Lytechinus pictus: one gene and its partner. The main gene of each other region encodes a partner of the protein of the gene in region 2 in a complex. Links are inferred from orthologs where the notes say so. Each region holds a gene or a part of one and is shown on either strand. Other genes may lie near its edges.

The links.
Region 1: DNA polymerase delta catalytic subunit-like (region 2) and DNA polymerase delta subunit 4-like share a complex: the UniProt entries of both Homo sapiens proteins name them as parts of the tetrameric DNA polymerase delta complex. The link is inferred for Lytechinus pictus from reciprocal best matches to the Homo sapiens genes POLD1 and POLD4.

What each region holds. Positions count from the first base shown.
Region 1 is NC_087246.1:32,444,335-32,451,602, reverse strand, and holds the start of DNA polymerase delta subunit 4-like, read left to right. Parts: upstream 1-4,210; 5' UTR 4,211-4,792; coding exon 4,793-4,949; intron 4,950-5,591; coding exon 5,592-5,678; intron 5,679-7,268. UniProt on the Homo sapiens protein: As a component of the tetrameric DNA polymerase delta complex (Pol-delta4), plays a role in high fidelity genome replication and repair.
Region 2 is NC_087253.1:6,221,765-6,229,624, reverse strand, and holds the start of DNA polymerase delta catalytic subunit-like, read left to right. Parts: upstream 1-4,805; 5' UTR 4,806-4,878; coding exon 4,879-4,897; intron 4,898-5,067; exon of another isoform or gene 5,068-5,190; intron 5,191-7,588; coding exon 7,589-7,804; intron 7,805-7,860. UniProt on the Homo sapiens protein: As the catalytic component of the trimeric (Pol-delta3 complex) and tetrameric DNA polymerase delta complexes (Pol-delta4 complex), plays a crucial role in high fidelity genome replication, including in lagging strand synthesis, and repair.

The DNA.
Region 1 (7,268 bases), on a different chromosome or scaffold from region 2:
TTGACCTGGTTCCAAATGTTTAGAACATGGTTTAGATATTTAGAATCAGGCCAATAATACACTTTCTTAATCGGGGCTAATTAGATATTCATTCAGAGATATGATACAAAACTTAAAAGACAATGACATGCGAAATATTATTTTTTTTACAATGTCAGTTTTTCTTATCTTTAATGATATATTACCTCTTTTGTTCTGAGTATCAAATTTGCCATCACTTATATTTTTCAAATATAACAAAAAAAGGCTGTTAATTGTGAGACAAATGTTCAAATAATGGAAAAGTTGTTAGGCGGTAACTTATTTAATTAATTTGAATAATCTAATAATATTCCAATAATATTCCAAAGCCTAATAAATAGTTTTGGACAAAAATACTGTAATTCAAGCAAATATATTTCAAATACTAGTGCAACACATCTTTCTAATCACCTTTTTAAAGATATTTGGATTTCAAAATTTAAGTTATTAAAAATATTTCCCCCTTTCCTGTGAAATGTGATATTGTATGAAGTTAAATGCAACTCGATTCTATCGCAGTGCTACTTATATCGTTAAGAATTATTTTGTCAGTATTACATGATTGTGTATTCTGATTTTTGTTGAATGTTGGTTTATCAACTTTCAATAATAGATCATTATCTGCATATAATATCCCTGCGAATCTATATGTTTTAATATTTATTACTCTCAGTGTATCCATGTACATGTAGGTCAGTTCATTCTGTAAGTCTATGGCAGAATTATTAGAGTTTGTTCAAACTTAGACCGACAGAGCTTAGCAACATTTATGTACAATTTCAATGAGGCATTTCAAAATCGTCCAAATTCTGGATATATATTTTGTTGTGTGGCTGGCTATCAAAAGCTGTGGGCCAGTCAAAATGATGATGATAATAATAATACTAATAATAATAAACATAGCCTAAAAGGATTCTTGTAAAAAGTTGTACATCCAAATTCTTGACATCATCAGAGTAATATGGCATGATATGGTATCAGAATTTTTCATTTTTCAGGACTTTGTTTGTGCAACTTTGGGAAATAATCTGGTGAGAGATGACTTGTGTCGTGGGAGTTCATGAACACAAGTGTAATATTTGTTTCACCACTGAACATTGTCTGAACACTGTAAACAATATTGCCGAGCTGTGTCGTGTCATGTCTGAGCCAAAGTTGAATAATAATTCATGTCTGTCATCTACTTAATTACTCCCTCCATGTTCGATATCTTTCGTATTTCATACACCTGAAGGTCTCACATCCTATATGCCACTGTATCCAACAATTAATGTTTGTATGAATTAATATACTTAGAACAAATCACAATTGCACTGTTTGGAATTTGTTTCTATGTGTGTAGTAGCATGACACTTTGAGGAGTGTTGCAAGAATGCATTTATGGTGTTAAACCATAGCAAATGAAATGATACTTTCTGTTGCAAGATTCAAACCTACAAACAGTTGCAAGACTTAAGATTAAAGTAAGGACTTAAGTTTGACTTGCAATTGAATGCATTTTTGTGCACCATCCCCTTCATGAGTCTTTATCACCTGTGTAGATTATGATCATCTTTTTTTTTTACTGGAGGATTATCGGTACTTGTATATATTAGTAAAACTATAAACTTTCATCATCATATATAATGGCATATGCAGTATATTATATGTATATTTGTAAATTATTCGATTACCATGTGCAATGTAGCATGTAATGCCCAATACGTGGAAAGTAACCCTATATAATATATCCAGACTAGCATTCTTCATTATTTTCTATCTTTCTTTTGTTATATGTGAAGGGAAATTGATTAATTTAATAATTTATACCGTTCGGTTTGATAGAGTGAATCAGTTACCATCAGTTATTAGTTAGGTGCTTGATATTACAAATGGGAGAGAGAGAGAGAGAATGGTGTAACTGAATTTTATGTCTACTGCTTGAGAATTCCTGATATACAGTATTTAGGGAAAACTGGGGGGGGGGGGGGAGGGGGTGCTTTTCACAAAGATTGATTTTAGTATGACTTAAAGGGGTGTTGCAAGAAACTTGCGATCAATGGCAAGTCATTTTTTGGTCCCTAAATCAATCATATGTCTTGCAGTTAATTGCAAATTAGTGATTGATTGCTAATTTGCTCCTTGAAATAAGAAGTTTACTCTGGTTTGCTACAGCTAACGTTGATCTATCAGTTGTAAAATTGCAACAGAACATTTGCAATTGATCGCAAATATTTTCTTGCAACACCCCCTTAGAGTCGTACTTAAATGCCTAGTTGCTTGCGGTATAAAAGACATGCAGATCAGATCATGCCAAGATGATGCAGACTACTGCGTATTGATTAAAAAGATTGCGTGTGGCATATCATGTACGTGTTGATATTTAAGTGTGACTCTAAGTCATATGTAAATCTTTGTTAAACATCCCCCCCCCAGGTTCTGTTATTCAAGTGAATTATATAGATAATGAAAACAGAGATTTGATTTGAACTGTCTTCAATTTTAATAATAGTTTGTGGACAATCAAGGCATGTTCTGGGCATGCAATGATGGAAGTACCTTGTCCAGCTCATAACATGGAATGATTATTATGCAGAGTCCACCATTTATTATGAGAGCATTCTTTACTAACCAGTGAGTCATTGCTTCGCATGAACAACAGCCTGTTATTAAAATAAAAGTTAAATTTTGTTCAACAGTAACATTGTGAGATTCTACCTACAGACTCTATCCTGACATAATTCTGTTGATACTAATTCATAAAATATAATATTCCTATTTTAAATGATAATTTATTATGTCTTTTCATGGTTTAAATATCTTTTTAATTCTATCAATTAAAGTACATGTAGTTAGTAATTAGTTACAAAGTATGTTCTCTAATAGATAATAGAATGAAGATTTAAAAAACCTGCCAGGCTTTGTTGTGCTGAGTTTTACACTAGAATGGGGAAAAAACAACAATTGGTTCCATCAAACAATGTTTTACAGATAACTTGAAACATGGGATTTCTGTTCTGTACTCTGTTCTAATATTTCCCTTCATGACGAGTGTCTATTATATCAGTTACAAAGATTTTAAATTGTCATTTATGTTTGTTTACATTGAGAATGTATGTTTCAAGTACATTATTTTAATTTGAGGATCAGCTAGATTGTGAAATCATATTCCACTATGGGATAGTTCTCTACCTAGCATCTGTTTTGTGTGTCTAAAGTATTTTTGATCCAGTTTATCCATTACCCTACCTACTTGTGCTGTAAAAATGCAATTTCAAGTTTTCTTGAAGATTCAGCGATTAAATTCCTGAAAAAAATGATTTTTTTTTTTTAAATGGACATTATGTGTTTATTTCATTGTGTTCACTTGAGTGGCCCTTGCCCCCCGCCCCTTCTCCCTCATTCGTATGAGAGAGAAGGCTCATTCTTGGACATGCAAACTCACTATTATTTTAAGTTATTATGATTCATTCAAGTCTTATCAAATCCACTGTTCTTCCCCCCCCCCCCCACCATAAGTGGTCTTGAATACGAGAGAGAGAGAAGTGATTGAGAAAAGTGGAGGCCCGTGTTATATTTACAGGTAAATTTGCATTTGTCGACATTTCATGAATCAACACTTTTAGACCAGATGATATTCTTTAAGTCGCCAGATTTCTGAGGTCATGAAGGATGTATTTTTAAAGGGGGAGTTCACCCTGACAAAAAAGTTTATTGTAGAACTATCGGAAAAATAATTGTAAAAATATTGGTGAACGATTGAGGAAAATTCCTCAAAGAATAAAAAAGTTATTAGTCTTAATTATTTGATCTGTGACGTTATATGCAACTGGCAGCTTCAGTTTCCGTCACATTGTATGGTAAAAAATCAATGAAATGTTTTTTTCAGAAAATTGAAAGTGGTTTTTAATATAGCTTCAGTATATCAATACACAAATTATTTCACAACTACTCCTACAAAGAAAATAAAAAATAAGTCATCAAGAACCATTAACAAATTAAATTTATGCATTTTATATTACATACCATAACGGGGCATTCAGCTGCTTGTTTATGACGTCACAAATCAAAAACTTGAAATTCTAATAACTTTCTTATTTTTGAATGGATTTTCTATAAAACCTTCAATATTTTTCAATTTTTTTTCTGCTTTTTTTACAACAAAGTTTTTTTTTTTCAGGGTGATTGAGCGAAGAAGGGATTGGTGTGCAGTGTACAAGGGAACAATTTTAAAAAGAAAGATTGTAAGCAGGCGAGGCTGTAGGATAGTGCGAGTCACTGTTCTTAATGCCAGTTTTTAGTTACAGTATTTCCGCTATTTATTGGCGAAATACAGTAACAGATAAGTGAAATATATTAACAAGCTATTTTCATTGACTGACCGTGCTTTGGCATGATAGCAGACGACGCTAACAAGGGTAGATAAAGAATAGACAGTCTTTTCATATATCCAAGTAATCGCAGTCAAAACTTCATTTCTTTCTTTTTTTTTACTCTTTAAGATCACGTTGTTAATTGTTATCATTGTCACTGTTGTACAATTATAAAATTCGATCAACAGAGCTATGATAATACACACTTAAAACGGGATATCTGAGCGAATTCATTGGGAGTTCCATCGACAGTCTATTATCTTAACTCATAACTTTTAAATACCCACGCCACATGTTATGACATGTTGTTGTTGTAATCAGCTGATACCTGCCAGTCCATTTCTGAAGTTTGTAGCACATGATTCATGAAAACATCAACGATTTCGATCTGAAGGTAGAAAGTTAACCTCTAGCAAAAAATGTCGAGCAAGGCAGTATCACAACAGCTAATCACTGATCAATTCAGTCAGCAAAAATCAGGACGCATTCTTGAGAAGTCAAAGGGGAAAAGCAAGCAAAATGTAGCTGTTCGAAGCCCCGCAGCAAGCCCGAGGAAATCAGAGAGAACCATCGAAGGTGAGTACCAAGCGGTAGCCGAAATGTACCGCGTAGCCGACATGTACCGCGTAGTCGATTACGATCGAGAGCTGTAGTGTCGAAGGCCAAAAGACCGGTGTTTATGCCAAAAACATTTAAATATGTAAACATTCTGTTGTCGGGCTTTTACTATTATCATATTGCATTGTCGATTGTAGATTATCATAATTTGTCGCAAGAAAAATCAAAAATTGTTTTAACTCAACTCTTGCCACAATGGGAGTACCGTACTAATATTTCAAGTTACTTTTAGATTTAATTTGTTTTCTGCAATTCTTTCTGTAAGTTTTACTTAGTGTGAAGTTACTTCAATTGTTAATTCTAACTGTTATTGTTAATGGTATTTCCATGGATTTCATAATGCCTTGTTGGGTATGCTGAAAAAAGAAAAGAAGATCGCATTTCTGGCTTAGAAATCTACCTTTAATTTTATTTATAAAAAAATTATAATCCAATGTCATGATTCGATTACAGAATACAGATCTATGGGATATAATGTCTTGTGTGTGTGTGATTCCTCATTCTAACAGTATGTATACAATCGATTATAACGTAGGATTCTAAAGTTACTCTGAATTTCTCTCAATTACATACAATCTATTTAATATTTTGTTCATTTAGTTGAGAGTGCTGAAGATCTTATCAGAAAGACAAATCTAAACACACTCCGGGAATTTGATCTGGATTGGAGATATGGACCTTGTACGGGTAGGTTTGCCATATGCTTTCACATTAATTTTTAATATGTAATGAATCTAGTGATAGCCAAAAAGAAGGCATGAAAATTCATTCAAATAAATATCATCTATATCCAGTGATGGAGCCCAGGGTATGTGGCTTTGACTTACAAAGAGATACAATTGATATTAATCTCAACTACATCAGTATCATAATTTTCATGCAGCAGTGCACGCACCATCACAAAACAGATTCAAAACAGAATTACAGTCATTTGGGGGTTACTAAGGGTGAATACCCCCCCCCCCCCAACCCTTGCCGCACTACAATCCACTTTGATACGCTACCAAGATGGAATGCGTGGCTCTTCAGTAAATTCAATAAGTTAATGGCATAGCTCATTGAAAACAAAGGAGTGCACCTATTAGTCCATACAATGGTGCATGGGTGATATTTGAAATACATTTTGATCAAACATGCATTCTATATAATTGGGCCACCAGTTTTCTGTCGATCATGCATTTGATCAGATCAACAGTACAGTACGTGTGTCCTTCTGAGACAAACTCAATGGTTTCTGAGCTATGAGGCTGCGCTTATCACTGAACATTTCATAAAAGTTGTTATATAACAAATTTGCAATTAAAAGCTCCTAGAATCTTTCAATCTAATTGGCTGATCATGAATTAGTTATCAAAATTGTGCATTCTTTATTGTAACAAGTCTTCATGAAATGGGACCCAGATGCCGAGGACAATTTAGGCCTCCCAAATGTTGTTTATTATTATTATTATGTTATTTGGCAAAATATCAAACAAGTCAAATACAATGATAAAAAATAATTGTTACAATAACACAATGATAATACAGTTAACACAAAAAATGATTAAACACTGGATTCATACGGATGAGCTGCCAGGCATTGGGCAAAGTTAACCAAATAACTATAGTCCACAGACCGCCCTAACCCATACCCCATCCAGGTGAATCCACTGTAGTATTTTCATGTGAAATAAACATAACATGCATTTGCATTTAAATTTACATATATATGAAAACAAAGTATTAAATTACTCAGAATCTCAAAGCATAAAATCATGCAAACAAATATCAATAAATACACTGTATATTAGCCTACAAGGTAAAAAATTAAATCAAAGGGAATATGCTGCGAACAATTATCTAAATCACTTTTGGTTGGCTTTGACGTGTGGGTCGGTAGGAGATTGTATAAATTGCAATGAATAATTAAAATTGAAAGTACTGTGATATCTTGGCAAGCAACCCAGCATATATTCAATTTATATTGCATTTAATGTAACATGCTAAATACAACCCCCTGAGATTTAAACTGCAATGAACATGCAATGAACGATACTGCTATTGGAATATTGAAATATTGAAATATTGAAATATTGAAACACGATTGGATATAAATAATGGCCAGTAGTTGATAGAAGATATATTATATATAAAAAGAAACGGTTAAATACATCATAATAAAATATAGATAATTCTTAAATACATAAATATGGTCATATCAAATTTTTGACACTTACTTAGAATTGACAAGATAGGAATTTAGGTGATTGCACCATGTTTAAAGAGACCCAGTAAGGA
Region 2 (7,860 bases):
TGGACGTCGGACCGGGAAGTTTACTGTCTTACTAAAAACTAAAGTTCAGTATCGAAATTGATGTTGCCTTGCGCTATTTTGTGAGTATGTAGTCTAATTTCATCTTTATATTATTGACGATGTATTTATTATTATTAAGAGGGTCTGAGAGTACTATTTATTCCTTCAACTGTCAGTGTCGTGATCTTTTTGAATAAATGAACGGATACGCGGATACAATTTTACAAGTTGCCTGTCTTAATAAGAAAGTTAGAGTCGGTCCCACACGCTGTAAATTGTGTATCGGACCCAGTCCAGACTCAATCTGATATTCTCAACAAGCATCACGATCACTCCTAGTACCAATGAGGTCCAACATTACATGTATGGACCTCATAGGCGACATCAGTAGTATTTTTGGTTAGGAATCTCTGAGAACAGGATATTTATATATTATAGGCCTATCACAAGTACAAGCTATATTCCTTTCTCTTATTTAAATTATAATTTTATAGTGTAAATGCATCGTTAGCAACAACAAAAAAATGAAAGAAATGAAGGGGAACTTACATTTTCACGGCTTTTTCCTGATTTTCTGGGCAGCTGCTCTTCTCTTCTGACTCGTGATCGAAGCTGATATGAAGATCACGTGATTCGCGTTCTCGTCAGCTGATCGGTTGGTTATTCTTTTCGTCAGACGTTAATAATATATATTTTATAATGCTAGCATTCATCGCTAATTTAGGTGAAAGAGATTGAAGTTAAACAGCGCCAGGTCGGAATCATAATTATTTTGGAAGAGTGTATTTATACACTCGATCTCATACTAGGGAGACCGCGCGGACGTCAATTGCATTCCGCCTTTTGTTACACGCCGCACGGACCTTCAACGAGCAGCTCACAAAAATACGACATGTCTCTCATTATTTTGCCATCACAAAACAAAATAGTCAATATATATCAAAATAAGCCAACAACATCATCATCAAGTATATTCTCAAGCTAATCAATGTCGAAATAAAAGAGATCATGGTGTTTTATCATGCTTTTGAAGCAACGGAAATGACCCCTCACTCACCGGTTTGAACAACGGTTCGTCAGCGCGAGCGCTAACACACGCAAATTCGCATAGGTCGCATTTCCCCTCGAAATGGTCAGAGATTTTGGAGCAAAATTCCACTTTGAAGCATTTTCGACACTTGATCCTCACATCGTATGATCATGATCTATATACCAAAAGAAAGGAAATAATTTGCTCTGTATACTCATATCGGTTTACAATTCACTCGCTTTCGCCAAAAAAAGATATAATGAGAAGTAACATTCCTTCTGCGATAGCGAGAGTACGATTAAAGTCTCTGTACGTAAACCGAGTCCAGTTTGCATTTTCGACGATGCTGAATCCGATTATGACATCATTTTTTCGCATATCCCTGAGGATCATGTGTCGGATTGCAATTCAAAATACCCTTACCATGCGAGTTTTTGAACAGCGAAAAAAGGGCGTGGTAAACCCGATGACGCCAGATTAAATACGCGCTTTCTTAATGACGTCAAGCGGTCCCGCGCCTATGGTCACGTGCCCAACCGGCGCGAGAATTCAAAGTTCATCGCGGGTGTCGCTGTGCGCAATGCTATGGAGTTTCAATGCAATTTTGTCTACATGTACTTTGTGAATGATCGTGAGTGTATCGCTTACACACATGCACGTGGATGATTTGCATTTGCACATGTAAACTTAGTGACTCATCACTGGTGTAATCATTCAACCGTGCATGTATTTTGATCTGTCCATTTATCATCCCATGTTTTACATCAATCTTTGAATTATCTTTGGTCGATATATCAAAGTCTCGCGGCAGCAATCATATTCAACCAAAACAACAATGTAAGTGGAAGAAGACAGTCCAAATAATATTTCATCAAGATGCATCAAGGCCGGTGTGCTACCGAGACCTCGACATTTTTAAATATTTTTTTTAATGAATTTTCGAGCCGGCCAGACTTTGATATATTGACCAAAGATGATGCAACCAGAGAGAGAGAGAGAGAGGGGGGGTTGAGAAGAGAAGAGAGGGAGCAGAAAAAGAGATAAGTTAGATGTAAGGGGAGAGGTCGGAGTAGCAGTGTGATGAGAATTTATGTAAATTGGGTAGAGACCTCGGGGTAGAGACAAGTTCACGTTGTGTAATTGAACAAAAGAGATCAAGCAAAAAAAAAATTGAACGTTGACCATGCTAAATTATATAGTCCTGGATGATGTCAAAAGTCAGAAGGCAGGTGCAATCTACCCCCCCCCCCTCCACCAACCTGTACCTTCATCGGCACAAGAATTTAATTGATAGAATAATAATTTTGCTGTCCGTCTTCGTATATATCCCTCGAACTTCGAAGGATGATAAAAAAAGCCGTCTCTAAGTCCAAATATTTTGCCCATTTCCCGGACTCATTTCTTCATACTTACAGTAGAAAGGCTCTTATAATCCTATATAAAATGATTCCACTTATTCCATATGGAGAGTGTCCTTTTTTCAACCATGGTGTTGGAGGTACTTGTATACCTCTCCATGATTCAACTCTGATCGTGATTCAGCTGTGCATGGACCTTTCGTTGGAATATCCGTTACCATGGTGACCGGCGGCCAAGATAACATGCAGGTGGTCATTGTTTACAAATATCTGGAGACTGAGAATGGAGGTTAAATGCCGCGTCATTCCCAGGGGTCCATGTTCTGAACATGGAAACGATTGTGGTTGAGCCCCGTTCCCACGGTAGTTGCAATGACGGAGTAACTATAATCATATACATGTAGTAAGTTCTTTGGATCCCAGTTTTCAAAGCCTTCACAAATCATAGGAAATTTATCAATTACAACTCGCTATCTACGACAAATATAATAATGACTGTGTTGGAATCAGTTACAACCAAAATGCTAAATAAAAAAGAGGGGTTAGTTATATTTGAAGGGGTGAATCCAGGAATTACCAGAACGGGGGGGGGGGGGGGGGGGTACGCTGTTTGGACGAAAAGAAGTTGGCTGCCACTGTGAAGTTGACAACTCGATAATTTTCTGACAATCAAGCAAAAAGAAATCAAAATGGAGTGGATGGAAACTTGTCGCCCCCCCCCCCCCCACCAGCACTGATTAAAAGCATTTAAAAACAATTTTCAAGAAGAATCAACGAGATCACGAATAAGAAAGAGAATCACACATTAAAAAAAATCAATTACATGCAGAATTGAATTCATAGAACAATAATTTTGCTGGCCGTCTTCGTATATATCCCTCGAACTTCAAAGGATGATTAAAAAAAAAAGCCGTCTCCAAGTCCAAATATTTTGCCCATTTCCCGGACTCATTTCAGTCATTATTTTTCTTCATCTTAATGCTTACAGTAGAAATGCTCTTATATATAATCCTATATGAACTGATTCCACTTATTCCAGATCGAGAGTGTCTTTTTTTTCAACTATGGAGTTCCCTCTCCATGTTTCAACTCTGATCGTGATTCAACTGTGCATGGACCTCTCGGTCCATGAACTGAACATACGTTGGAATGTCCGTTACCATGGTGACCAGCGGCCAAGATAAGATCATTGTTTACAAATATCTGGAGACTGAGAATGGAGGTCAAATGCCGGGTCATTCCCAGGGGTCCATGTTCTGAACATGGAAACGATTGTGGTCGAGCCCCGTTCCCACGGTAGTTGCCATGACAGAGTAACTATAATCATATTAGTTCTTTGGATCCCAGTTATCAAAGCCTTCACAAATCATAGGAAATTTATCAATTACAACTCACTATCTACGACAAATATAATAATGACTGTGTTGGAATCGGTAACAACCAAAGTGCAAAATCAAGAAGGGGGTTAATTATTTGAAGGGGTGAATCCAATTATCAGAACGGGGGGGGGGGGGGTGGGGTTAACGCTCTTTGACAAAAAGAAGTTGGCCGCCACTGTCAAGTTGACAACTGGATACATTTCTGACAATCAAGCAAAAAGAAATCAAAATGGAGTGGGTGGGAACTTGCCCCCCCCCCCCCTCCCACCAGCGCCTGATTAAAAGCATTTAAAACAATTTTCAAGAAGAATCAATAAAATTGATAAAAAAGAGAATCACACAATTAAAAAATCAATCCCATGCTGAAAACTACATGCTGATTCTTCTCATTCTTTGCCTCGCCCCCCCCCCCCCCCCCGCCCCATCTCGTCTCGAATTTTGGGGAATACCTTTTTCATGAGGTGATGATTAAACTTTCTCTGTCTTAGCAGATACACAACTCGATAATGTACTGCCACATCACATGCAAATCACAGACAAATGCCAGACTCTCTCAGACCATGTCAGACATAAATATAAACAAAGGAAATTTCCACGCCGTGTCGTGAGCCACGTGGGAAGGTACATTGAATGGACACACTTTTGATGCACACAAATAATCCCAGACACATTTCATCATAACCTCTCAAGCATTGGTTCTGGACGTTACGATCGCGTCTCTTTCCCCCTCTCTCTCCCTCTCTCTTTCTATGCATTGCATTCGCTCGTGACATGGCTTGACCTAAACCTGACCTAAACGCACCCGTACGGGTGCGTAACTCGAACTTTTGAAGACAGTCGGGGTCAAAGTAATACATATTCATGACCGTGCAGCGTAAAAATCATGGCGCGCTGACATCATTAGCAACATTCGCGGAGACTCCTCCTTACGAGGGAGGCCTTCATTTCCTGAATTGGACGTGAACGCGTATCGTGGATGACCATATTTTGGGAGGTTTTTGAGCTATTATTGGCGGAAAAATGTCAATTTCTCTTCGCTTGTAACTTTGCAGTAAAATGGAATAACTTCAAGAAATTCGGCAGTTGGTATGAGTGAAATTTTCCCTATAAAATGATTACAGTCATAGCACGTAAGTCCAACCCTATCCAAAGATAAAAATTAGGTCCGGTCTCCCTACTCATACCTGACGTAGACGGCGCTATTCAACAAATGCACAATCTTCAATATAAAAAATAAAACAGAAAGAACGCCTTGAACACAGGCCAAAATGCCTAACGATTTCTCCGCGGCATTAACAACTATCGTAAAGGGCGCTCCATTTATCAATAAAGATGGATGCTAAGCTGTCTATGGCGACAAAATTTGCCGCAAATATTTACGAAGAATTGTGAGAAATGGTCTGAAAATGCAACAAAAGAACCGGTGAGTACCGATTAAACATTATCAATTTATTTAATAGAACATATTTAATTACTACAATGTAACAATTTCTAGATAATATTGCTTAGTTCTAAGCTAGGGCGGCCCAAATGCGCGTGAGTGGAGTCCCAGTTTATTAGCACGGGTAAGTACGTATAGGGGTGTCGCCTAGAGTGATCACGATATCTTCATTTTGCCAGCAGATATTATCATAAAAAATATGAGTTCAATGTAGTACTTTACTAGATCTATAGCATTTTGTCGTCAATCTGATGTGGTAAAATTAGGGATATTACTAATAATAAATCCTGTGAGGGAAAGAGGGTGGAAAGTGGGGTTAACAGAAGGAAACTGTCTTTACCTACTCACCAGACAGGAGTTGGTGCAAGGCACGGTGAAAATAAAGATAAACCAAAAAGCAGGCCCAAAGTAACTTGTAGATATGATTACTGGTGTGAAGTATTCTTGGTGTAGATGGCTAGTATTGGTGTGATGTATAATTGCCGCAGCTAGTTGAAACTCGAAGGGCGAAGCAAAGGTAGATTTGTGTAGAAACACAGACGTCCTCGTCTCGCACCGGTCGACTATCAAGTGATCATCAGATCCCTTGGCTGGCCTGACTATGCAGCTATGCTCAGACCTGAGTTGTGCACCCAAGCATGGATGAATGCACAGGGCTTGGGGGTTTGGGTCTATTGTTGTGTGCACACAGCCTCTAGCCCATAGTACATGTATATTCTATGCTCCAACCAAGGAGGTGGTTGCTCCAACCCATCCCACAGTACTACATACTATGTAGGGAGCAGTCGCGCGTGCCCCAGACTGTGGTACATTTTACCACACTGATATAGCCTAGGCCTAAATATCTTATTCTTAATTAGCTCACCTTTTAAGTTTTGAGCTTGAGTTTTTGTTATTATCATTATGTTAATTAACTCTCCACAAAAACTTTGGTCCGTGAAGTTAGGTCACACTTTTTTAGAATGGTTTTCCAGCACAGCATGCATTCGTCTATCGGAATAGAATTTTGAGATCGCGATACCGGCGAAACCCCTTGGCCTTGACCTAGAATAGATCTATCTAACAGTTACATGCAGTAGAGAGGCGCACGGCCAATATGGGAGACTCTCTCCAATAGGGGAGACAATCTCCCACATTGGAGACTTGCTTTGCAAAAGGACAAAAGAAACGACACCAACAAAAGCATGATTTTTTCACCCAAAATTTTGTCTCACTGAGGTCAGAAGCCCATTTGTTTTGTGTGTGATTGACAACAAAAATCCTTATCAAAACAAAAGTAGACGGTGAATTTTTAAAGTAGACGGTGAAAAAGGGTAATTTTTCATGAGGAATCTGCTTATCACATTTTTATTTGCCGCCAAGTTAATCTTTTTGCAGCAAATGTAAACAAAGGAAATTGGACTCCAAAACTGGAGACTGTCTCTGATATTGGATACCCAAATTCTTTACAAAAGTCTCTGATATTGGAGATAATCTCACACATTGGAGACAGTCTCCAATATTGGCCGTGCGCCTCTACTGACATGTAGATCTAGGGCCTAGGGCTAGGCCTACTTCACATTTTCGTCTTATAGTTCATGATAAACAAAATTGATATTGCCGTCATAATGTGGAAACTTTTCTTGAATTGGTTTTGTACAAATTGTGAATATTTTGTGAACAAATTTAAGCCTGATGAATATTTTTTGAAAGTCCGCGCAGTTTAGACACCCCATCATACATGCCGCCGTGCACAGGAAAATTGAAGGCCCGGCGCATGCAACACTTGCATGGGATTGCGCAAATTTAAGATGGCTTTAATAAAATCAAGTCCTTCTACGAAACTGAGCGAACTATGTGAAGTCAATTTCCCCTAATATCGTGAATATCCCTAAAATATTTTTTTCTTGATGACGAAATATGGAGCTTTCATGCCTTTTCCTATTTTTTTCGTCTAAAGAGGGCATGCGATTTATCTTCATAATCATATCAAAGACACTACAAGTAAAAGACTAGATCTAGGCACTAAACTATTTTACCCGTAAATCGATGCAAAGCGTTACGCGAAGTCGGCCAAGTGTCCAATCTTTGTATTGTAAGACTTTGATGGAATGTTTGTTGACAAACGAACATAGGTTCGTACTGCTGGATTCGTTCAAGGCACGTAGAATTTTCTATTTTTTGTTTAATTTGTCATCGCTCTGGATGTGTTACGTGGCTGTATGGCCCCCATGGAGTACTTTTCCTCTAGCTTGTCTTTGTGGCAGCATACAAAGAGCTTTATCCAGCTTTTTTTATAACAATGGATTAAAAAAAGACACCAAATGTTGCCAATTGGAAGAACAAATGTTGATTGGGTTTTTGAATAACCAGTCTTGTATTGTACATTATATATGATCAGAGGTTAACGCCACCATCATGGATTCTAAACGCAAACCAGGGGGCTCTGCTCGAGGGCCTGGACCCCAGTCAAAGAAGGCCAGGGTCCAGGACTTCGAAGACCAGGACCCATCGGTATTCGAGGAAGAGCTGGCCTTGATGGAGCAGATCGAGTCTGAGATGGATTCTCAGGGGACCAATGGATCTGTTGGAGGACCAGGACCATCAGTTAACAATGGTGAATACATTTATATTATATTGACTGGCCTTGAGGGGTACATCAAATATGTTGCC